Linked DNA regions of Elephas maximus indicus. The protein of the gene in region 1 purifies or fractionates together with the protein of each later gene. This does not show direct contact. Links are inferred from orthologs where the notes say so. Each region holds a gene or a part of one and is shown in the gene's direction. Other genes may lie near its edges.

The links.
Region 2: the proteins of VBP1 (region 1) and PFDN5 purify together in Homo sapiens (affinity purification with mass spectrometry; 7 studies listed by BioGRID and IntAct, counting the BioPlex papers as one, with this or other methods). This does not show direct contact. The link is inferred for Elephas maximus indicus from reciprocal best matches to the Homo sapiens genes VBP1 and PFDN5.

The regions. Positions count from the first base shown.
Region 1 is NC_064846.1:783,065-795,216, reverse strand, and holds the start of VBP1 (prefoldin subunit 3), read left to right. Parts: upstream 1-7,259; 5' UTR 7,260-7,291; coding exon 7,292-7,384; intron 7,385-12,152. UniProt on the Homo sapiens protein: Binds specifically to cytosolic chaperonin (c-CPN) and transfers target proteins to it. Binds to nascent polypeptide chain and promotes folding in an environment in which there are many competing pathways for nonnative proteins.
Region 2 is NC_064822.1:108,804,800-108,817,060, forward strand, and holds PFDN5 (prefoldin subunit 5), read left to right. Parts: upstream 1-6,672; 5' UTR 6,673-6,708; coding exon 6,709-6,780; intron 6,781-6,982; coding exon 6,983-7,085; intron 7,086-7,367; coding exon 7,368-7,399; intron 7,400-8,414; coding exon 8,415-8,489; intron 8,490-8,588; coding exon 8,589-8,694; intron 8,695-9,432; coding exon 9,433-9,509; 3' UTR 9,510-9,609; downstream 9,610-12,261. Other genes in the region: ESPL1 (separin), read left to right, coding at 224-569, 769-930, 1,318-1,531, 1,653-1,843, 2,359-2,486, 2,622-2,744, 3,064-3,219, 3,339-3,509 and 5 more; MYG1 exonuclease, read left to right, coding at 9,889-10,104, 10,289-10,401. UniProt on the Homo sapiens protein: Binds specifically to cytosolic chaperonin (c-CPN) and transfers target proteins to it. Binds to nascent polypeptide chain and promotes folding in an environment in which there are many competing pathways for nonnative proteins.

The DNA.
Region 1 (12,152 bases):
GAAGACCCTCAACCAGATGGATTGACACAGTGGCAGCAACAAATGGGCACAAACATAACAACAATTGTGAGGATGGCGCGGGATGGGGCAGTGTTTCATTCTGTTGTAAATAGGGCCGCTATGAGTCCGAGGAGCCCTGGTGGCACAGTGGTTAAGAGCTACAGTTGCTAACCAAAAGATCAGTGGCTTGAACGCGCAAAGTGCTCCTTGGAAACCCTATGGTTCAGCTCTACTGTGTCCCCCCACATGTCTGTCACGTTCTCATACTGTGGGGTCTTGCATGTTGCTGTTATGCTGGAAGCTATGCCACAGGTATTCAGATACCGGTAGGGTCACCTACGGAGGAGAGGTTTCGGCTGAGCTTCCAGACTAAGACAGACTAGGAAGAAGGACCCGGCAGTCTGCTTCTGAAAAGCATTACCCAGTGAAAACCTTATGAATAGCAGCGGAACATTGTCTGATATAGTGCTAGAAGATGAGCCCCCCAGGTTGGAAGGCACTCAAAAGTTGACTGGGAAAGAGCGGCCTCCTCAAATTAGAGTTGACCTTTATGACGTGGAAGGAGTAAAGCTTTCGGGACCTTCATTTGCTGATGTGGCACGACTCAAAATGAGAAGAAACAAACAGCTGCAAACATCCATTAATAATTGGAACCTGGAATGTACGAAGTACGAATCTAGGAAAATTAGAAATCGTCAAAAATGAAATGAAATGCATAAACATCAATATCCTAGGCATTAGTGAGCCGAAATGGACTGGTATTGGCCATTTCAAATCAGACAATCATATAGTCTACTATGCTGGGAATGACAACTCGAAGAGGAATGGTGTTGCATTCATCGCCAAAAAGAACGTTTCAAGATCTATCCTGGAGTACAATGCTGGCAGTGATAGGATAACATCCATATGCCTGCAAGGAAGACCAGTTAATACAACTATTATTCAAATTTACGCACCAACCACTAGGGCCAAAGATGAAGAAATAGAAGATTTTTATCAGGTGCTACAGTCTGAAATTGATCGAACATGCAATCAAGATGCATTGATAATTACTGCTGATTGGAATGCTAAAGTTGGAAACAAAGAAGGATCAGTAGTCGGAAAATATGGCCTTGGTGATAGAAACAAAGCCGGAGATCAAATGATAGAATTTTGCAAGACCAACGACTTCTTCATTGCAAATACCTTCTTTCACCAACATAAACGGTGACTATACACATGGACCTCACAAGATGGAACACACAGAAATCAAATTGACTACATCTGTGGAAAGAGACGACGGAAAAGCTCAATATCATCAGTCAGAACAAGGCCAGGGGCCAACTGTGGAACAGACCATCAATTGCTCATATGCAAGTTCAAGCTGAAACGGAAGAAAATCAGAGCAAGTCCATGAGAGCCAAAATATGACCTTGAATATATCCCACCTGAATTTAGAGACCATCCCAAGAATAGATTTGACGCATTGAACACTAATGACCGGAGACCAGACGAGTTGTGGAATGACATCAAGGACATCATACATGAAGAAAGCAAGAGGTCATTGAAAAGAAAGAAAGAAAAGACCAAGATGGATGTCAGAGGAGACTCTGAAACTTGCTGTCGAACGTCGAGCAGCTAAAGCAAAAGGAAGAATTGATGAAGTTAAAGAACTGAACAGAAGATTTCAAAGGCCAGCTCGAGATGACAAAGTAAACTATTACAATGACATGTGCAAAGAGCTGGAGATGGAAAACCAAAAGGGAACAACACATCCAGCATTTCTCAAGCTGAAAGAAGTGAAGAAAAAATAAATTCAAGCCTCGAGTTGCAATAGTGAAGGATTCCATGGGGAAAATACTAAACAACGCAGGAAGCATCAAAAGAAGATGGAAGGAATACACAGTCATTATACCAAAAAGAATGAGTCGATGTTCAACCATTTCAAGAGGGGGCATATGATCAGGAACCGATGGTACTGAGAGAAGAAGTCCAAGCTGCTCTGAAGGCATTGGCGAAAAACAAGGCTCCAGGAATTGATGGAATATCAATTGAGATGTTTCAACAAACAGATGCAGTGCTGGAGGTGCTTACTCCTCTATGCCAAGAAATATGGAAGACAGCTTCCTGGCCAACTGACTGGAAGAGATCCATATTTATGCCTATTCCCAAGACAGGTGATCCAACTGAATCTGGAAATTATAGAACGATATCATTAATATCACACGCAAGCAAAATTTTGCTGAAGATCATTCAAAAACGGCTGCAGCAGTATACCAACAGGGAACTGCCAGAAATTCAGGCTGGTTTCAGAAGAGGATGTGGAACCAGGGATATCATTCCTGATGCCAGACGGATGCTGGCTGAAAGCACAGTATACCAGAAGGATGTTTACCTGTGTTTTTATTGACTATGCAAAGGCATTCGACTGTGTGGATCATAACAAATTATGGATAACATTGCGACGGATGGGAATTCCAGAACACTTAATTGTGCTCATGAGAAACCTTTACATAGATCAAGGGGCAGTTGTTCGGACAGAACAAGAAGATACTGATTGGTTTAAAGTCAGGAAAGGTGTGCGTTAGGGTTGTATTCTTTCACCATACCTATTTACTCCATATGCTGAACAAATAATCCGAGAAGCTGGACTATATGAAGAAGAATGAGGCTTCAGGATTGGAGGAAGACTCATTAAAAACCTGCATTATGCAGATGAGACAACCTTGCTTGCTGAAAGTGAAGAGGACTTGAAGCACTTACTGATGAAGATCAAAGACCACAGCCTTCAGTATGGATTACGCCTCAACATAAAGAAAACAAAAATCCTCATAACTGGACCAATGAGCAACATCATGATAAATGGAGAACAGATTGAAGCTGTCAAGGATTTCATTTTAACTGGATCCACAATCAACAGCCATGGAAGCAGCAGTCAAGCAATCAAAAGACACATTGCATTGGGCAAATATGCTGCAAAGGACCTCTTTAAAGTGTTGAAGAGCAAAGATGTCACCTTGAAGACTAAGGTGCGCCTCACCCAGGCCATGGTATTTTCAATCGCATCCTATGCATGTGAAAGCTGGACAATGAATAAGGAAAACAATGAATAAGAAGAGTTGACGTCTTTGAATTGTGGTGTTGGCGAAGCATATTGAATATACCATGGACTGCCAAAAAGAACGAACAAATCTGTCTTGGAAGAAGTACAACCAGAATGCTCCCTGGAGCCAAGGATGGCGAGACTGCGTCTTACATACTTGGGACATGTTGTCAGGATGGATCAGTCCCTGGAGGAGGACATCAGGCTTGGTAGAGTAGAGGGTCAGCGGAAAAGAGGGAGATCCTCAAGGAGGTTGGATTGACACAGTGGCTGCAACAATGAGCTCAAGCATAACAACAATTGTAAGGATGGTGCAGGACCGGGCAGTGTTTCGTTCTGTTGTGCATAGGATCGCTATGAGTTGGAACTGACTCGACGGCACCTAAGAACAACAACAACGTGAGTCGGAACGGATTCAACGGCGCCTAACAAAAACAACAGTCCTACTGCCAGGGCCCCTTGGCTTGGACGCTGGTGTACAGGTTTCTGTTTGCATTCCTGCTTTCACTTCTTCTGGGTATATGCCTAGGATTGGGGTTGCTAGGTTATATAGTAGTTCTATGTTCACCTGTTTGAGGAACTGCCAAACTGTTTTCCACAGTAGCTGCACCATTTTACATTCCCACGAGCAATGGATGAGGGTTCTAACTTCTCCATATTCTCACCATCACCTGTTGTTTTCTGTTTTTTTGATCACTGCTATTCTAATGGAAGTGAGATGATAGCTCATTGTGGTTTCGATTTGCATTTCCCTAATATCTTAGTCTCCCAGCTCCACTGAAACCTGTCCATCAGGGGTGGTCTGGCTGTTATTTGAAATACTGTTGGCATAGCTTTCAGCATCACAGCAATATGCAAGCCACCACAGTATGAGACACTGACTCCAGATGGTGGACTGACAGACTACAGCCTTCAGCATGGATTACACCTCAAAATAAAGAAAACAAATATCCTCACAAATGGACCGATAAGCAGCATCACAATAAACAGAGAAAATGTTGAAGTTGTCAAGGATTTTATTTTACTTAGGTCAATAACCAAGGCCCATGGAAGCAGTAGTCAAGAAATCAAAAGATTAAAAGCTTGCAAGCAGGCATCCAAGGCACAACAATTGTTCTCTATTCCCCTAGAGCAACAGAGGAAGAAGGAGAGTCAGGAACAGGAGGAGGAAATGGAATGTGTAGCTAATTGCCTCCATGAACAACTGCTCCTTTGCCTCCATGAACAACTGCTCCTTTGCCATGAGATCAGAAGAACTGGATAGTGCCCGGCTGCCATTACCGAATATTTTGATCAAAGATTCTATAAAAGAATCTTGATCAAAAGGGGGAAAATGTAGAACAGAATTTAAAGTTCTCATAAACTCCAGACTTTCTGGAGCCATGGAGGCTGGATGATCCCCGGAAAATATTGCCCTGAAATAATTTTTAAACTTTAAACCAAAAATATCCCCTGAAGACTTCTTAAAACCAAACAAACCCCACTGAAGCCATCTTGCACCAGTCTCCTGATTCCTGCCACCTCAAGCCACCATCTCTTGCTGTCTTCCATGTTACAGCTCCTCTCTCCATCTCTCCATGTGTCCCTTTGTCATGGACTGAATTGTGTCCCCCAAAAATATGTGTATCCATTTGGCATGGTTCCCAGTATTGTGTGATCATCCACCATTTTGTCATCTGATGTGATTTTCCTATGTGTTGTAAATTCTCTCTCTATGATGTTGATGAGATGGGATTAGTAGCAGTCATGTTAACGAGGCAGGACTCAATGTACAAGATTAGATTGTGTCTTGAGCCAATCTCTCTTGCGAAGTGAGCAGAGAAACGGGGACCTCATACCACCAAGAAAGCAGTGGCGGGAGCAGAGCATGTCCTTTGGACCCAAGGTTCCTGCATGGATAAGCTCCTATACCAGGGGAATATTGATGGCAAGGGCCTTCTTCCAGAGCCAACAGAGAAAGAAAGCCTTTTCCTGGAGCTGACACCCTGAATTCGAACTTCTAGGCTACCAGCGTGCGAGAGAATAAACTTCTGTTTGTTGAAGCCATCCACTTGTGGTATTTCTGTTACAGCAGCCCTAGATGACTAAGACACCCTTTAAGGCTGGCAGAATGGCAAAACTGATCAATCCCCTTGTTAGGGTTCCATACACCTTATTTGCATGATTCCAGCCCCACAAGGGTGCCATGCACCTTATTTACATTATTAGCAAGCTATCCAGTCCCCTTGGTGGGCCACAAGCACATCATTTGCATATTCCCGCCCTGTCATTTGGTGGGAATTACAAAACCATGGTGAGAAAGGCCATATAAAAGCAATCTATTGCCCTGCAATTGCATTAGGCATATCTGGTGCAAATGATTTCTTTAAAATCTTAAAAAGCAAAGATGTCACTTTGATGACAACGATGTACCTGACTCAAGCCATAGTCTTTTCAGTTGCCTCATGTGCGTGCAAAAGCTGGACGATGAAAAAGGAAGACTGAAGAAGAATTGATGCATTTGAACTGTGGCGTTGGTGAAGAATATTGAATATACCATGGACTGCCAGAAGAACAAACCAATCTGTTTTGGAAGAAGTATAGCCAGAGTGCTCTTTAGAAGCGAGGATGGTGAGACTTTGTCTCGCTTACTTTGGACATGTTATCAAGAGGGACCAGGTCCCTGGAGAAGGACTTCATTCATGTTTGGTAGATGGTCAGTGAAAAGGAGGAAGAGGATTGACACAGTGGGTGCCACAATGGACTTAAACATACCTACTATTGTGAGGATGGTGCAGGACCAGTCAACGTAGCTGTGAGACAGAGCCGAGTTGACTAACAACAATGGTAACGAGGGCTAATGACGTTGAGTATCATTTCTTGTGCTTGTTGGCCATTCGAATATCCTCTTTGGTGAAATGCTCGTTCAAGTCCTTTACCCTTTTTTGATTGGGTTGTCTTTTTGTTAAGTTGTACACAGTTAGATTTTAATAAATGTTCACCCAAAAAAAACAAACCCGTTGCCATCGAGTCCCTATAGGAGAGAGTAGAACTGCCCCAGAGCCTGGTAGATTTGAACTGCTGACCTTTGGATTAGCAGCCATAGCACTTAACCACTACGCCACCAGAGCTTCCTAATAAATGTTAGCCAGTATTATTATTGGAGCCCTGGTGGCACAGGCACAGTGGTTAAGCACTAGGGCTGCTAACCAAAAGGGCAGCAGTTCAAATCCACCAGCCACTGCTTGGAAACCCTATGAGGCAGTTCTACTCTGTCACTATGAGTCGAACTCGATGGCAACAGGTTTTTATCATTATTACGTATATGTGTCCCCACTAAGGAAGGGGACAGGCTTTTATCCCTTATTCATGGTAGACTGTGTCTGAGGGGGTGAAGGGCTCCTCAGGAAGCATTCCAGTGAAAGCAAAGGGAAGAACAAAGCATGGTAGGTAGATGTCAGCAAAGAGACCCAAGAATTCCTTGTTTTCAAAAAATAAAGCTCTTTCTTTCAATGTGTTGTAGTGCAGGACGTTGCTGGGGAAGTTTGTGGGCCTAGGAGTGTAGGTAGAATTCTCAGGAATTTATACAGAGATTATGAAGTTGGAAAACCTTTGAGCTGGGGTTATGAGATTCTGAACAAAGGCGGTTTTCGGGAAAGGTTGGTACGATGGGGGTAGTATTGACTAGAATCAGGCCAGCGGCTGCACTTCATAAGACACCAGCTAAGTCCCCTCCATGGAGCAGGAAGCTCCCTGTATGGTGAGACCGGAAAGGGGCAGAGGCCAAACTCCCATGGTAAGCGTCTAGGTCCCAAGTTAGATCTTGTCCGAGAAGAGACAGGGTCGAACGGGATGCCATTCTGGAGCATGCTGCCTGTTCTGGGGTGGAGTGTAGTCCAGGCTGGTTCCCGATTCCCGGGCTCTCCAGCCCTAAACGCACCCATAAAATCCCCGAGACCCGTTTACCCAAGGGTCGAAATTAGTCCTTCCAGCAGCCCTCAGCCGCTCCTAGGCTGCCGCCTCCACGCTTGTCACTCTGGGGGCAGCCAATCAGCACCCACAGGTTGGGCGAATCAGCGAAGAGTAGCTACTTTCCGCGCACCGATTATTGAGCAGACTCACGGGAAAGGGGCGGGCTTACAGGGCCTGGCGAGCCAATCACGGCCCTCAGGCGGGCCGGCGGCCTGGGAGGCAGTTAGTCTGGAGCCTGGCCGCACACGCTTCCCCAAGATGGCGGCTGCTAAGGACGGTTGTGGCCTCGGAGAAGTGGCCACAGGGAATGGGCGGCGGCTCCACCTGGGGATTCCCGTGGCCGTGTTTGTGGTAAGAGGCACGCGGGCCCGAGGCTCCTTGGCCCGAGGCCACGGACTGAGCTTTCTCGTCCTCTCACCCCACCTCGGCCTTGACTCTTGGAGGACGGAGCTGAGCTCAAGGTCCAGGGCGGGAGTGCTCGGCCTTCTCTCCCTCACCGCATCTAAACGGTTTAATCTCAACTGCGGTCCACCCTGAGGAAATGCGGCCTGAGAGAAAAGGGAGCGCGGGCTGGCGGGACTCAGGGGCGGACGGGGCTCGGAGAGCAGGCAGGGCGACCTGAGGGACCGCACCGCTGCCGGGTTTCTTTAGCTGCGGCCTTTGGAAACCTAGAGAAGGTTAACGTGAAAAAGCTCACGACTCAGCCTAGATGCTGGAGAGACAGACAAATAATTGGACAGAATATAATGAATCGAACGTGGTGTAGGCTGAAGAGTTGGTTTTGAGGTATTAAGATGTGAAAATAGAGGCTGGTACCTAATCTGTGGAAACCCTGGTGGCGTTGTGGTTAAGTGCTACGGCTGCTAATCAAAGGGTCGGCAGTTCGAATCCACCAGGCGCTCCTTGGAAACTCTGTGGGGCAGTTCTACTCTGCCCTATAGGGTCGCTATGAGTCGGAATCGACTCGACGACACTGGGTTTGGTTTTTGGTTTTGGACCTGATCTGTTGAAGGAATGCAGTGATCTGTTGTCTCTGGGGGAATGGTAGGAGAGACGGATGGTAACGTAGATTAGGATGATCCTGAGGTTCTTTGTATGTGTTGCTAAGTAACTGAGGCTTTATCCAGTAGGCAGTGGACTGCCATGAAAAGGTTTCTAAATAAAGCCACGGTATAATCATATTTGGTTTTAGGTACATCATTCTAACACCTTAGTGGAGAATTGGGTTCAGACAGAAGGTGGGGACGCAATTTGGAGGCTTCACGGGGAGACCAACCCAAGTCCAAACAAAGAGAAGCAAGTAAAAAAAAAAAGTAGAAGCTACTAACTCTGTCCTTCTGTCAAGCTATTTCAGAAATATTACTTGAATAACGAGAGAAAATCTCTGACTGTCCTTCCAGGCCAGTATTATCTGTCTGTCCTTACTGAGTTCTGGCAGAGGTACTATAAAATATCAACGGAAGTTTTTCAAACTTTCGGTTTGGTTTCTACCTGGATTGCTTTACCTCTACTTTTTTTGCTAATCATGCCTCACATTCTTCAAAAGACTCATTTCTTTATTATTTTGTGTAGAGCACTTTGATTGGCACTTAATATTGTATGGAGCCCTGGTGGCACAGTGGTTAAGAGCTTGGCTGCTAACCAAAAGGTCGGCAGTTCAAATCCACCAGCTGCTTCTTGGAAACCCTATGGGGCAGTTCTACTTGGTCCTGTAGGGTCGCTATGAGTCAGAATAGATTCTACAGCCAACAGGTTTGGTTTTCAGGTTTATATCGTGTATTTGCATTTGTTGATATAATTTTGTAACTATTTTCTTTGTTTTCTCCCCGAGCTGGTACCATTTATTTCTTTATAATTATGTCCCAACAGTTGTAACAAGAGATAAAATTTTTCAGTGTTTACTATGTGCCAGCACTTTTCTAAGGATTTTGTAAAACTCTAGACGGTAGGTATTCTTATTCCCATTTTGCAGATGATGAAAGTGAGGCAAAGAGCCCTTGAGTAACTTGTCACAGGTCACACAAGGTGTAAGTGAGGTATCTAGGATTTGAACTTAGGCCATCCATGGGGTTCCACAGCCTACCCACCATATTCTGCTAGGTGGAGGAAGGCATGGTAGTTCTCTTGTTGTTGGATGCCATTGAGTTGATTTCTACTCAATTTCCACTCATAGCGACCCCATGTGTGCAAAGTAGAACTGCAGCATAGGGTTTTCAAGGTTGTAACTTTTTTGGAAGCATATCACCAGGCCTGACTTCCGAGGTGCCTCTGGGTGGGTTTGAACTGCTAACCTTTCAGCTGTTAGTTGAGTGCTTAACCCTTCACACTACCCAGCAGCCCATGGTAGTTCTCTTGCTCAGTGTTACTTCTGGTCCTAGCACAGTGCTTGACCCATAGTGTAAGCTCATAACTAAGTGTCACACTTCCTTAGTGCCTTAAACCCGCAGTTCTAAGGAGTGCCTGACATGTTATCAGGAAGGACCAGTCCCTGGAAAGGACATCATGTTTGGTAGAGGGGTCAGCAAAAAAGAGGAAGACCCTCAATGAGATGGATTGACACAGTGGCTGCAACAGCGGGCTAAGACATAGCAACAATTGTGAGGATGGCGTAGGACTGGGCAGTGCTTCCTTCTGTTGTACAGAGGGTCGTTGTGAGTCAGAATTGACTCAACAGCACTAAACAACAATAACAGCGCCTTTTTACTACATTCATGGTGCTCAGCTAGAGATGTATTTAGAAATCTAATTCAGAGGATGAACTTCATCTGAGAGCTTTATACAGTCTTATCTTTATCGTTTTAGATTTTATATTTAGATCTTTGATCCATTTGGAGTTAGTTTTTGTGCATGATGTGAGGTATGGGTCCTATTTCTTTTTTTTTTTTTGCAGATGGATATCCAGCTATGCCAGCACCATTTGTTAAAAAGACTGTCTTTTCCCACTTAACTGCTTTGGGGCCTTTGTCAAATATCAACTGCTCATATGTGGATGGATTTATGTCTGGATTCTCAGTTCTGTTCCATTGGTTTATGCGTCTGTTGTTGTACCAGTACCAGGCTGTTTTTGACTATTGTGGTGGTATAATAGGTTCTAAAATCAGGTAGAGTGAGGCCTCCCACTTTGTCTCTGTTCTTCACAAATGCTTTATTTATCCCGGGCTCTTTCCCTTCCATAAGAAGTTGGTGATTTTTCTCCATCTCATTAAAGAGTGTCGTTGGAATGTGGATCAGAATTGCATTAAATCTATAGATCGCTTTTGATAGAATAGACGTTTTCACAATGTTCAGTCTTCCTATCCATGAGCAAGGTATGTTTTTCCACTTATGTAGCTCTCTTTTGGTTTCTTGCAGAAGTGTTTTGTAGTTTTCTTTGTGTAAGTCTTTTCCATCTCTGGTAAGATTTGTTCCTAAGTATTTTATCTTCTTGGAGGCTACTGTACATGGTATTGATTTGGTGATTTCCCCTTCGATGTTCTTTCCATTGGTGTAGAGGAATCCAGCTGATTTTTTATGTCTACCTTGTATCCTGATACTCTGCTGAACTCTTAGTTTCAGTAGTTTTCTGGAGGATTCCTTAGGGTTTTCTGTGTATAAGGTCATGTTGTCTGCAAATAGAGATACTTTTACTTCTTCCTTGCCAATCTGGATGCCCTTTATTTCTTTATCTAGCCTAATTGCTCTGGCTAGGACCTCCAGCACAGTGTTGAATGAGGGTGGTGATAAAGGGCATCCTTGTCTGGTTCCTGATCTCAGGGGAAATGCTTTCAGACTCTCTCCATTTAGGATGATGTCGGGTGTTGGCTTTGTATAAATGCCCTTTATTATGTTGAGGGATTTTCCTTCTATTCCTATTTTGCTGAGAGTTTTTATCATGAATCGGTGTTGGACTTTGTCAAATGCCTTTTCTGCATCAATTGATGAAATAATGTGATTCTTGTCCATAATGTAATATGATGGATTAGGTTAATTGTTTTTCTAATGTTGAACCATCCCTGCATACCTGGTATGAATCCCACTTGGTCATGGTGAATTATTTTTTTGATATGTTGTTGAATTCTGTTGGCTAGAATTTTGTTGAGGATTTTTGCGTCTATGTCCTTGAGGGATCCCAGTCTGTCTCCCAGTGCCATCGAGTCGATTCCGACTCATAGCGAGGGATAGGTCTGTAATTTTCTTGTGGTGTCTTTACCTGGTTTTGGTATCAGGGATATATATGCTGGCTTCATAGAATGAGTTTGGGAGTATTCTGTCCTTTTCTATGCCCTGAAATACCTTTAGTAGTAGTTGTGTTAACTCTTCTCTGAAAGTTTGGTAGAACCCTGCAGGTGAAGCCATCCTGGCCAGGGCTTTTTTTGGGGGGAGTTTTTTGATTACCTTTTCAATCTCTTCTTTTGTTATGGGTCTACTTAGTTGTTCTACCTGTTTGGGTTAGTTTAGGTAGGTAGTGTGTTTCTAGGAATTCATCCATTTCCTCTAGGTTTTCAAATTTGTTAGAGTACAATTTTTTATAGTAATCTGATATGATTCTTTTAATTCCAGTTGGGTCTGTTGTAATATCGCCCATCTCATTTGTTATTCAGGTTATTTGCTTCCTCTCCTGTTTTCTTTTGTCAGTTTGGCCAGTGGTTTATCAATTTTGTTCATTTTTTCAAAGAACCAGCTTTTGGTCTTGTTAATTCTTTCAATTGTTTTTCTGTTTTCTATTTCATTTAATTCTGCTCTAATTTTTATTATTTGCTTTCTTCTGGTTCTTGAAGGTTTCTTTTGTTCCTGTCTTTCTATTTATTCAAGTTGTGGGGATAACTCATTGATTTTGGCCCTTTCTTCTTTTTGTATGTGTGCATTTAATGATATAAATTGACCTCTGAGCACTGCTTTCGCTGTGTCCCAAAGATTCTGATAGGGAGTGTTTTCATTCTCACTGGATTCTATGAATTTCTTTATTCCATCCTTAATGTCTTCTATAACCCAGTCTTTTTTGAGCAGGGTATTGTTCAGATTCTATGTGTTTGATTTATTTTCCCTGCTTTTTCTGTTATTGATTTCTACTTTTATGGCCTTATGGTCAGAGAAGATGCTTTGTAATATTTCAGCGTTTTGGATCCTGCTGCTTTGCTTT
Region 2 (12,261 bases), on another chromosome or scaffold:
TTTCCTTAACTCTTTTTCTTCTCCCTTCTCATCCATATCTTTTGTTCCCTCCTCTCCCTCCTTCCACATCCTAGAGTAACTGCCTCTGATTGAGAGTTGGGGGAGTGTATGCGGCAAGGTAATTCTTAAATCTTGAGGGGTGACTCCATAGCGCCACCTGCTGCCAGAAGGTGTGTTGCCACTGAAGGCCTCTTGGCTCTTTTCCCTTTTCCATCCATCCCAGGTGAACTTCAGTGATGACAGTGACTTGGAAGACTCTGTCTCAGCTGAGGCACAGCTTACAGAAGAGCCTAAGAGATGTGGCTCTGCTTCCCGGGGCCGGGGCCGGACTAGGAAGGGCTCAAGCTCGAAGGCTAATGCGGTGGTTGTCCCAGGTAGTGTCCCTGGGCACCCTGGCCCAAGTGGCAGGAGTCGGAGCGCCAAGAAGGTGGTATCAGGACATTGTGAAGAGCGGGCCCAGAGGGCCCCCGAGATCATGAGGACTATCCCAGAGGAGGAACTGGCTGGCAACCAGATGGAAATGAGCTTTGAGATCCTCAGGGGTTCAGATGGGGAAGATTCAGCCTCAGGTATGATGGCAAGGGTGCAGGGTAGAGAGTGAATATATTTCTTGGGGGCTGTTCTGGGACTAAAGCTGAAGAAATTACTGGTGCCAATGGCAGTACAGAAAGGAAGTTCTTTTGCTGGCTCTGAGGAAATGGCTCCAAAAGGGAGAACAAAGGGGATGGCAGGAGAGAACTCTGTGAAACAGTCATATTCTCTCCCCAGGTAAGAAGGCACCAGCTCCAGGACCTGATGCAGCCGTAGGAGAATGTGAGGTATTGAGACGGGATTTCAGCAAGGAGGAGCTGCCCACTCCGTGCCCAGACAAGAAACGCAACAAGGACCTCGGCCCTCGTCTCCAGCTCCCCTCAGCCCCTGTAGCCATTGGTGAATATGCTGACCCCTGAAGATTGGTCCCTTGGAGAGGGTGCACCTCTAGGTCTCTTGATCCCAATGCCTTTCCAGTCTGTCCATGCATGGTTCTGGCTTTGGATCCTAGTCTGGAACTGGTAGCCTTTGAACCTGGGTCTGAGTCTCAGCACTCTCACTCTGCTGGCTGTGCACAAGTCACTTCACATCTCTGAGCTTCTGTTTCCTTAACTGTAAAATGGAAGTGATATCTACCCACAGGGTTTTTGGGAGGATGGAGTAAGTTGACCCATGGTAAATGGTAGCTGCTGCTTTCATATGGGAGATAGGGATTCCTTCTTGGAAAATTCCTGTCAACTAGGAAGAAGGGGATTCATCTGTAGAAGTGTTTTGACTTACCTCTAGGTCTCTCCACCCTGGATTCCATCTGTGACTCACTGAGCCTTGCTTTCCGTGGGGTCAGTCACTGCCCTCCTAGTGGACTGTATGCTCACCTCTGCCGCTTCCTGGCCTTGTGTCTGGGCCACCGGGATCCCTATGCCACTGCCTTCCTTGTCACCGAGTCTGTCTCTATCACCTGTCGCCACCAGCTGCTCACCCACCTCCACAGGCAGCTCAGGTGAGTGCCCACCATCCCTAAGGCTCCTACTAAGAGCAGAGGGACCCAGGTTGGGACAGACTGGAGGAGGGTCTCGATTTTGAAGGAGTGGGAAGCTCACCCCTACCTGTATTGCTTGCAGCAAGGCCCAGAAGCACCAAGGATCACTGGAAGTGTCAGAGCAGCTGCAGAGGCTAAGCCTCCAGGAGAAGGCTGGAGATGTCCCCCTGGCCCACATCCAGCGCCTCTTTTCCTTCAGAGCTTCGGGATCTGGCCACTTTCCCCAGCCCGAGAAGGAGAGTTTCAAGGAGCGCCTGGCTCTGATCCCCAGTGGTACAGTGGCAGGCTTCTGGCCTGCTCTTTTATATATCTCCTTCCTGAGAAGTTGGATAAAGGTGTTTAAGGCATTAGTTAATTTATGATCCTTATGGAAAGACATGTCATACCTTTTCCTGTGTTCGTTATTTTGTATCTCTCACCAGACATCTTAAATCTGGAAATCTTTTCCTTTTTTAAGCCTCAACTTTGAGTTATCAGCAAATTCAGTGTCTTCAGGGGTGAGCTCAGCTGTCTGGTGTCTCCCTGCTGTAATATGAAATGCTTAACAGATGATTTGAGTGCCCTACTCTGTGCAAGGCCCTTTGTTAGTTGCTGTGAGAGACACAAAGAACTCCAAACATGGTCTCTGTCCACAGGGAGCTGTTAGGGCAAGGGAGAGCACCTTGAACCCCACGGCAAGGGAAGACTTCGTGCATTATCTCGAGTGTTGGATAGGGATTAGTACAGAAGCCAGAGAAGGGAATTCTTTGCAACAGCTGAAATAACTTGGGGTATGTCCTCTGTGTCAGGGGTGACTGTGTGTGTGTTGGCCCTGGCCACCCTCCAGCCTGGAACTGTGGGCAACACCCTCCTGCTGACCCGGCTGGAAAAAGACAATCCCCCGGTCACTGTGCAGATCCCCACTTCCCAAAGCAAGGTAGGCTTCCTGGGCCAGGGGACAAAGTAGGGCTGGCGTGGGTTTCTGGTCAGGCTGCTCAGGCTCTGTGGCTGGGGCATGGAGAGATGGCAGTCATGCAGACAAGCAGAGATCTCATGACCCTGTCTCCCAAAGCTTTCTCTGAGCTCAGCCCTAAAGGAGTTTGATGCCATCCAGAAGGAACAGAAAGAGAACAGCAGCTGTACTGACAAGCGAGAATGGTGGAAGGGGCGACTCGAACTGGATCATAGGATGGAGGTGTGTGCCCCCAGGGTGGGGTGAAGGCAGACCTGCCCTAGGAATGGCTCAGGGGATGCCAGAGCGTAGTTCTAATCTGATACACATGGGGTCACCATTAGTCAAAATTGACAGCAACTGGATTTGGTCACATTTGTCAAAATAGAGTGACACCATGTCAGAGTCCCAGCCCCTGGTTTCTTACCTTCTATGACTGGCAGAAAGATATACAAGACAAATACACACATTGGAAAACTCATTTCTTTCCAGAATGCTGGTACCCATGGGGAAAGAAACTTAGCTTCCTCTCTGACTCAAGATTCTGTTCTCCCACCTTCAGGTTCTCATCACTTCCCTAGAGAAGTATGTGTTGGGCTGCTGGCGGGGGCTGTTGCTGCCATCCAGTGAGGACCCAGGCCTTGGCCAGGAGGCTTCCCATTTAGAGGAGTTGCTGCAGGAATGTGGCTGGAAATATCCCAATCCCACTCTGCTGAAAGTGAGTTAAGAAAGCAGGGAGGGGAAGAAGCAGTTAGCCTGCGGACTTAATTCTCTTCCACTAGCAAAAAGGCCACTGTGAGTGGGTGATGGCACCCACTAACCACTGTTCCCCTGCAGATCCTGCTCAGCGGTGCCAGTACTCTCACCCCTCAGGACATTCAGGCCTTGGCCTATGGGCTGTGCCCAGCCCAGCCGGAGAGAGCCCGAGAGCTCCTAAGTGAGGCAGTGGGACATCTACAAGGTCTGACAGTGCCAAGCAATAGGCACCTTGTCTTGGTGCTAGATAAGGTAAGGAGCTGGAGGAGCAGATGGACAATGGGTGCTGTCCCATCCCTGTGCGCCTTCTGCCTGTTATGTATACCTGGCTGGGGACAGTAACCTCTGAGTACTTTTTGCCCAGGACCTGCAGAAGCTGCCATGGGAGACCATGCCCAGCCTCCGGGCACTGCCTCTCACCCGTCTGCCCTCCTTCCGCTTTCTACTCACCTACTCCATCATCAAAGAGGTGAGGCTCAAGGTGTGGAGCTGGGGATGATTGGCTACTGGGGGAGACCTGAGGCAAGACACAGGCAGAATGCTCTAGAGACATGAGTGGGCCTTAGGAATGCGTCAGAAATGGAAAGGGGCTTGGAGCATGCCGGAACTTGGGCCTACTGGCCAGACCAGTATCCTGATCACCAGTGTCTCCTCCTCAGTCCGGGGCCTCATCAGTGCTGAGCCAAGGCGTGGATCCACGTAGCACCTTCTATGTCCTGAACCCTCACAATAACCTGTCAAGCACAGAGGAGCAATTTCGAGCCACTTTTAGCAGGTCAGAGGGGTGAGAGTAAGAAAGGCGGGTGGGAAGGGTAGAGACAACATGTCCTTTTCTCCAGAATTTTGCTGTAGTCCGCCTTCTACCTAGCGTCCTCTTTGCTTCATGGCCCCTGCCATGCCATTCCCTGTTCTAACTGCTGCCTTTTCCCTGCAGTGAAGCCGGCTGGAGAGGGGTGGTTGGGGAGACCCCAAGCCCGGAGCAGGTGCAGGCGGCCCTGACGGAGCATGACTTATATATGTGAGTGCTCAGAGAGGGGGAGATGCGGGGAGGGGCATCCCAGGAGGGGACCACTGTGGTTTGCCTTGGGGCAGAGACACGATGCTGGTAGGTCAAGGCTCATCTCTCCCCTTTCTACTCTAGCTATGCAGGACATGGGGCTGGTGCCCGCTTCCTAGATGGGCAGGCTGTCCTGCGGCTGAGCTGCCGGGCAGTGGCCCTGCTGTTTGGCTGCAGCAGTGCGGCCCTGGCTGTGCATGGAAACCTGGAGGGAGCTGGCATTGTGCTCAAGTATATCATGGCTGGCTGGTGAGTCTTGAGGGGCAGGCCCATCCTGGGGCGTCAAGACTCCTGCTCCCACTCCACCTTCTTTCCCAGCTTTGAACCCTGAACCTACCTCTCTTATGCTCTACTTTCTTCCTGTCTTAGCTCCCTGGTATGCCAGGACTTTTAACCCTTAGAACTCTGGGCCAAGGGAGTTCCTCATTAGTTCAGCCCTCTTTACTTACCCCATACACACCCAATCATGTTTTCCTATGTATTCTCTTTCAGAGCCCTTACTTTGTATTTCTTCCCTTCTCTTCCCAGCCCCTTGTTTCTGGGTAATCTCTGGGATGTGACTGACCGTGACATTGATCGCTACACGGCGGCTCTGCTGCAGGGCTGGCTTGGAGCAGGTCCAGGGGCCCCCCTTCTCTACTATGTCAGCCAGGCCCGCCAGGCTCCCAGACTCAAGTATCTTATTGGAGCTGCACCAGTCGCCTATGGCTTGCCTGTCTCTCTCCGGTAACCCATTGGAAGTGTCGTATCTCTGACAGAAGCCATGTGACTATTCTATCTCCAAACTTAGATTAAACCATTAGGCTAAATATTTTAAGTGATTTTCCCCGCTGTTTTATATGAAACATTTCCTTTCGACTTAATATAATAAAGATGTTATTTAAACTCTCTTTTATGCAACTCGTCTTGAGAACATTTAAAGACAAGATTACTGCCCCACTCCTACTATGTGGTATGTGGCACTTAAGTGAGTGGGAACAGATTGCAGGAATTCAAGTCTGAGAGCCTTGGGAAGACAAAGCCATTGAACAGCTGGTTTGGCCTGGCCTCAACAGACAGAGCTGAAGGAGAGAAGTGCATCAAAATACTCTTCAGTGGGGATAGAGGCCCAAGGGTAGAGATAGACTCACTGAGAGCATCTTGGCCAGTTACCATCATGTCTATATCCTGGGAGTGACACTAGCTTTAGTCCTCAGTTGCCCTGCCCCTCTCCTAAGTGGATATTAGAGACTAGCTATTCTCTTCTGAAGGTGCAGCTATTACACTTGGCAGTGCCATGTACTGTAGCAGCAGATTGTGTGTGGAATTCTGCTTATGGACTGTAAGCTCCTCTGAAGCACAAATAGCATTTTACATTCCATATATCCCTCCTAACTTATGTTTATCTGTATGTTAGCTGCTATTGAGTCCACTCCAACTCATGGACAACACGTACAACTCATGTACAACAGAACAAAATATTGCCTAGGCTTGTCATCCTCACAATCACCAGCATTTTCAAGTCCATCGTTGTGGTTATTGTGTCAATCCATCTCACCAAGGGTTTTTCCATCACCTTTGCTGGCTCTCTGCTTCACCAAATATGATGTCCTCTTCCAGTGACTGATTGATCCCTCCTGATGATGTGTCCAAAGCGAAACAATCAGACAATATTCTGTTGTGATCCATAAAGTTTTCCTTGTCTAATTTTCAGAAGTAGATCACCAGGCCTTTCTTCCTAGTCTTTCTTAGTCTGGAAGCTCTGCTCAAAACTGTGCACCATGGCTGACCCTACTGGTATTTAAAATACTGATGGCATTGCTTCCAACATCATAGCAACATGCAAGCCAGCACAGTAAGAAACTGGATGATGGATGCCTCATACAACACATGGTAAAATAGATTGCATTAATCAATAAACTCTGCTGTACTTGTTGGTTGACAATGGTACCTCCTTACCGTTCTCTCCGCCTCCAGACTCATATTCATTTGTCCAAAGAACTTGCTCCTTGCCTATCAGTCACTACCACCCACGTGGAGTAGCATACATTACGTTGCTTTCCAATACTGTGGTTTTAAGACCCGGCAGTGTTTTCATTCTGTTGTACACAGGGTCGCTATGAAACGGAATCAACTCAACAGTACTTGTCTTATTTTTAAGTTCCTGGATGGCAGGAGTCTTGTTTGCTACAACTTTACTGAACTAGGTTTAGGTTTCTTTATAGAATGAGCGTCGTTAACTTCTCTAACCAAACGGGAGCGCCGGAGAGGTGGCAGTCCCTCCTTCCCTTCCGAGACGGAGGATCATAGAGATGTCCGGCGCAGCGAGGCCTCCCGGCGCAGCCATAGAGATGTGCAGTGGACGCCTAGAGCGTTGCCGGCGAACAGGCTTTCCCTTCGTTAGTCCTTCCCAACATGGCGCAGTCGGTTAATATCACGGAGCTGAATTTACCGCAGCTAGAAATGCTGAAGAACCAGCTGGACCAGGTGGGGACGGGCCCCTGAGACGCCCCTTTTCCGCCTCATATCTCCCCTGCCCACACTACTCCCTCGCCCGCATTCCTCCCCAGTTTGGAAAGCTTCCGTTCCCAGCCGAAAGCCCCACCGCGTCCCAGGTGCCGCCCCCTCCCCGGCCGTGCTCCCCTCTTTCTCAAGCCCCTGTACGGACCCTGTTTCCCGTTATATGCAGGAAGTGGAATTCCTGTCCACGTCCATTGCCCAGCTCAAAGTGGTACAGACCAAGTACGTGGAAGCCAAGGACTGTCTGAACGTGCTGAACAAGAGCAACGAGGGTATGGGTTAGGCGGGTGAGGGCAACCTGAGGAATGTGGCAAGCCGGCTTCTCCTCTCGTACCACCTCCTAATCTAGTTTTCCTTACCTGAGGGAAGAAAACAATCCATTACATATTGTATACTGCTTCATGAACCCTTTGCATGTTGCTTAGCTAGAGCTGCCCCTGTTTCTGTTCTTTTCATTCTTTCTCTGGGTGCTGTGCCATGTTTGAACTCCCTTTAACGTCTTAACGTTGGAGCTGCCAACTTTCCCCAGGTGTTTGTCTTTATTGCTTTCACAGGGAAAGAATTACTTGTCCCACTGACGAGTTCTGTATCCTTTCGGCAAGAACTGCTCTCCTGCTTTCTCCTTTCCTTCCCTCTGGGGAACAAAAGGGGGGAAGGTAATTTTGATTATTCCACGGTCCCCCATGATTTTGAGAACACCCCTCTTATTATACACACTTCCCTTTTGCTGTTTGAAGATATTAATGTAATATGGAGATAAAACTGGGGGTTTACACTTTGGCTAGTAAACTAGGTAGAAGACACGAGCAATAGAAGAATAGGATATAGAAACTGTTCCTAAACTGCGGTCGCTAAGCAACAGGGATTGTGTCCACCTGTTGAGTGTTTTACTTGCATGAGCAGGTTATGGTGGTACAGCGTTTGTAATCTGTAGTCTGAGAACTGACAGGCTAAAAGAACTGCTCTCCTGCCTTCTTCCTTTCCCCTGGGGAAAAAAGGGCCGGAAGGTAGTTTTGATTACTCCACAGTCCCCCATGATTTTGAGAACACTCCTCTTATTATACACACTTTCCAGCTCCCCTATCTAACTTGGGGCCAACATCCAGCTAACAGCTTGTGAGTACCAGGGAGTACATAGACTTGAAGTGTGATAGCACTGTAGTGAAGGGCTAGCAGTGTAGTTGGGAATGGTTAAATAATGAACATTAAATCCCTTAGGAATTATCTAGTCCATGGTTGGAGATGTTAAGGAAAAACAAGGCTGACTTTTCACTTTCACTACGCTAGAGCAGTGGGAAAACATTGTGTCTAGACTTTCTGGAATAGCTAATATGAAGTCTTAATGAAAACTGCTTGGAGGGTGGGGGATGGGGTCAGGGCAAGAGAGTGTTCCATCTTATGTCATTTTCTCCATAGGGAACCAACTTTTCTCTGTCTTTCCCCATCTGGAGTTTAGAGGTATAGTTCTCAAGCCTCTAGATTATTCAGTACCTGTGTCTCAGCATTTTAGAAAAGAAGTGTCTTAGGAGGTCAAGTAGGCTGGCTGACAGGGAACCAAGGGTAATGCTAGGCTAGTTTTTCCCTTAATCCTTGCTTCTCAGATGTATGTCCCTGGGAAACTACATGATGTGGAACATGTGCTCATCGATGTGGGAACTGGCTACTATGTAGAGAAGGTGAGCTGGAGGAAACGTGGATGCCCTTCTAAACAGGGAAATATCTAAGGTGCAGCATGAGGTCTGCTCTTATCCCCCATTAACCTCTGACCTATGTAGACAGCTGAGGATGCCAAGGACTTCTTCAAGAGGAAGGTAGACTTCCTTACCAAGCAGATGGAGAAAATCCAGCCAGCTCTGCAGGAAAAGCATGCCATGAAACAGGGTAAGCTTGGCCTGGGGCACCTCCTGACACTGTTTTTGACCTCCATGGTAAAGAAGTGGATTGCAGGGTGAATCATGGGTGTGTTCCTTTTGCTAAATTAAAACCATGTTTTTGTATCTCTTTCTGTGGTGCTTTCACGTATCATTCTTTAGATCTGTGTTACTCTTTCGACCTATGTACCCACTATTTGTAGATCCCTGGTTGGGTGCTTGAGAAATTTGGAGGAAGGAAATCATGTCTGTGTTCTTGTGGAGCTCCTATCTAATTGGAATAGAATGGCAGGAAAGAAACATAGCCCAAACTAATACTAGCAATTGTAGCCCTGGCTGTGCGTTGAATCACCTGGGAAGTTTAAAAAGCAAGCCTGGGTCCACTCCCGGCCAACTAAATCAATCTCTGGGAATTGTTCCCAGGGGTCAGTGTTTTTTAAAAGTTCCCCAGGTGATTCTGTTGCAGTCAGGACTTAGAACTACTTCTAAAGGCAAAAATCTATCACATTATAATTTTCTGGTTATGTCTGACTCATTAAAAAATAGCTTTGCTCATTCGTTAATGTATTGATGACTTAACACATTGTAGGATCTGAATTTGTGTTACTGTGTGTCTCCCACAGTGGATCACTGTGTTAAAAACTTTATTAACAAACTGTAAATAGTGGTCTGCCTTCAAACCTGTCATTTTTCCTTACCTCTAGGTTAGGTTCTGACCAGGGTCTTACTCTTCCTTTTTCGTCCACAGCTGTTATGGAGATGATGAGCCAGAAGATTCAGCAGCTCACAGCTCTGGGAGCAGCTCAGGCCACTGCCAAGGCCTGAACTTGTTGCAGAAATAGAGCGGAGGGACCCTGCTTCAGGGGCCTGGGACTCTGTGGGCATGGCTTCTTAGGGCGGGGGCGGGGGTCTCGTCGAGCTTGTGTTTAACGCTAATAAAAGTGCCAGCTGGCCAGAATGTTTTTGTTTTTGCATTAATCAGGGACTAGGAATGGGGTGGTCCAGTGGGCGAGGTAAACCGAGGTGAAGCGGAGTGTATCTTGGCGACTCCACCCAAGGGGCCCTTCGAGGAGCTGAGAGTCTGTGCTGGCCCGCGAGTTCTTGCCAGGCCTGTTGCCGTGGGAACGGCCGGCAAGCGGAAGTGGGGTCGCAAGGGAACTTCCTATTCCGGGTCGGCGCCCCGCTTCCCCGCCGGGGGATCTGCATGGGCCACCGCTTCCTGGGCCGTCTCGTACCGCTGCTGCAGCTGCTGCCGCCCCTGCAGGCTCGGCGCCGCATGCTCGGCCCAGTGTCTGTCCCGCCCTCCAAACGTCCCCGTGGCGACTTCATGGCACCACCCCGAATTGGGACGCACAACGGCACTTTTCACTGCGACGAGGCGCTGGCATGCGCGCTCCTTCGCCTCCTGCCCGAGTACCGGGTACAGTCCCACAAAACTGATCCTGGTCCCACCCAACTGCCTCCGGGGCGCCCCAGCCCGTTCCTGTCACAGGGTCCCTCGTAGCTCTTCAGCGGCCCGAGCACCCTGCCTCCCCCGGAAACCCAACGTTAATCGTCTGCCCGCGCGACTCCGGCAGCCTCCTCATCTCCTATGTCACCCGCAGGATGCAGAGATTGTGCGGACCCGGGACCCGGAAAAACTGGCCTCGTGTGACATAGTGGTGGATGTGGGTGGCGAGTACGACCCTCAGAGACATCGATATGACCATCACCAAAGGTGGGTTTCCGGATCCCATTTCCTTAACCTCCTTGACTTTATCTTCCCTTCGTGCTCTGCTTTAGCTGTCCATTACCGTGGTCCCTCTCAGCAGAGGGAACTGCCTTATTGAAATCAAACTCCTTTGTCTCTCTGGGACTATAGCCTTCCATCCATCCAGCTGCCTGCCCTTTACCCATCTACCTGTCCTTGGACTTCCCTGACCCCTCAAGTCAGCCCACATCTCCCTAGGCTTCCCAGCAGTCAGTCCCTCAGGCCCCTCCTGACTTACCTCCTTCTTTGGCTTAGGCAGGCTTTTCTCCCACCAGCACAGCCATCACCCCAAGTAATACCTTATCTGGATTAATCCATTCTGCCTTTGCTGCCCCGTATCAGGCTGGTTGGGCCCAGTAATTGTGGACGCAGGATGGTTCGGATGTGTATACTCTCCTACTTCACTTAGACTCTTCCACTGGGAAATCTTTCTTGTCCGAGGGTAGTCCATTATCCGCATTGCCATTCGATCCTTTTTCCCTCTCTTCAAGCCCCTATCTCATTAAACTCCCTCCATGATTGTCCCTGCCTCCTGCTTAAAGAAAATTGAGCTTTTCCTTCATGGACTCCTCAGTTTCCCACTCCTGAACACCCTCAGCCTCCTCCTTCCAATTGAAGCAAAGTGTCCCCTTCTGTTGGAGGTCAGTCCTTTGCCCACGTTTCTGTTACTTTGTCCTCTGGGACTTCCTGTCATGATTCTCCGACCAGTGTTTTCTACTTTTTCTTCTCTGCTGCCTAAAACTTTGCTCAAGCATCTCCCATCTTGAAAACAAAGAACTGAATTTTAAAAAAAGAAAGAAAACCCTCTCTGAGGCATTATGATGATGTTTTAGGTTTTTTTTTTTTTTTTTAAACACTACTTATTACTTTTATAAATGGTGTCTGGAGGGACGTGTCCCTCTAGTTACAGTCTAATCGCTTGCCCTCATTTCTCTAAGCTACTCTTTTTACTCTTCAAAAGAATACCTGACCCTGGCTCCACCTCTTCCCATTAGATTAATTTCCATCCCCAGCCTGCTGCAGTAGTTTTTACCTTGTCGCTCCATTGGAACTGCTCATGGAAAGGGCACCCGTGGCTTCCACACCAAACTAGAGTTGCCTCAGGGTGTTACCTTAACTGACCTTTGTGGGGCACTTGTGGCACTCCTTTTTGCCCCCCCCCCTTTTTTCTTATAGTTCTTTTTTATATACATTTTAACATAGAAAAACCAAGCCCACTGCTGACAAGTCATTCTGACTCAGGCACCCCGTAGGGTTTCCAAGGCTGTAAATCTCTGCGGAAACAGACTGCCACATCTTTCTCCTGAGGAGCAGCTGGTGGTTTCGGACCACCGACCTTTTGGTTAGCAGTCGAGTGCTTTAACCACTGTGCCACGAGGGCCCCCTAATTTTGACATATCTAGAATATAAAACATAAGATGGTTACCTATGATCTTATGTCCCAAACTAAGAACTAGAACATTACCATTACCTTTGCCTCTGTACCTGTGTACTTCTTCCTGTCGCGTTCCTTGCCCCACCCCAAGCAAGCAGTATCCTGAATTTTGTATTCGTCATACCTTTGTTCTTGGGTAGTTTTAACACATGTGAGTCTTTCCATAAACAACACATTGTTTGGTTTTGCTTGTTTTTGAACTTTACCTGGGGGGTTATTATATCACTAGTCTTTATACCAGATGTATATTTTATAATTAATTTTTTGTATTTACTCAATAGTTAATCAAAATCATTAAAACAAAAGTGAGCTCCTTAGGTGTTTCTGATGGACTGGTATCTGGAAATCACAGCGGTAGTTTCTGCTTCTTTACCACATCTGTCACACCTATT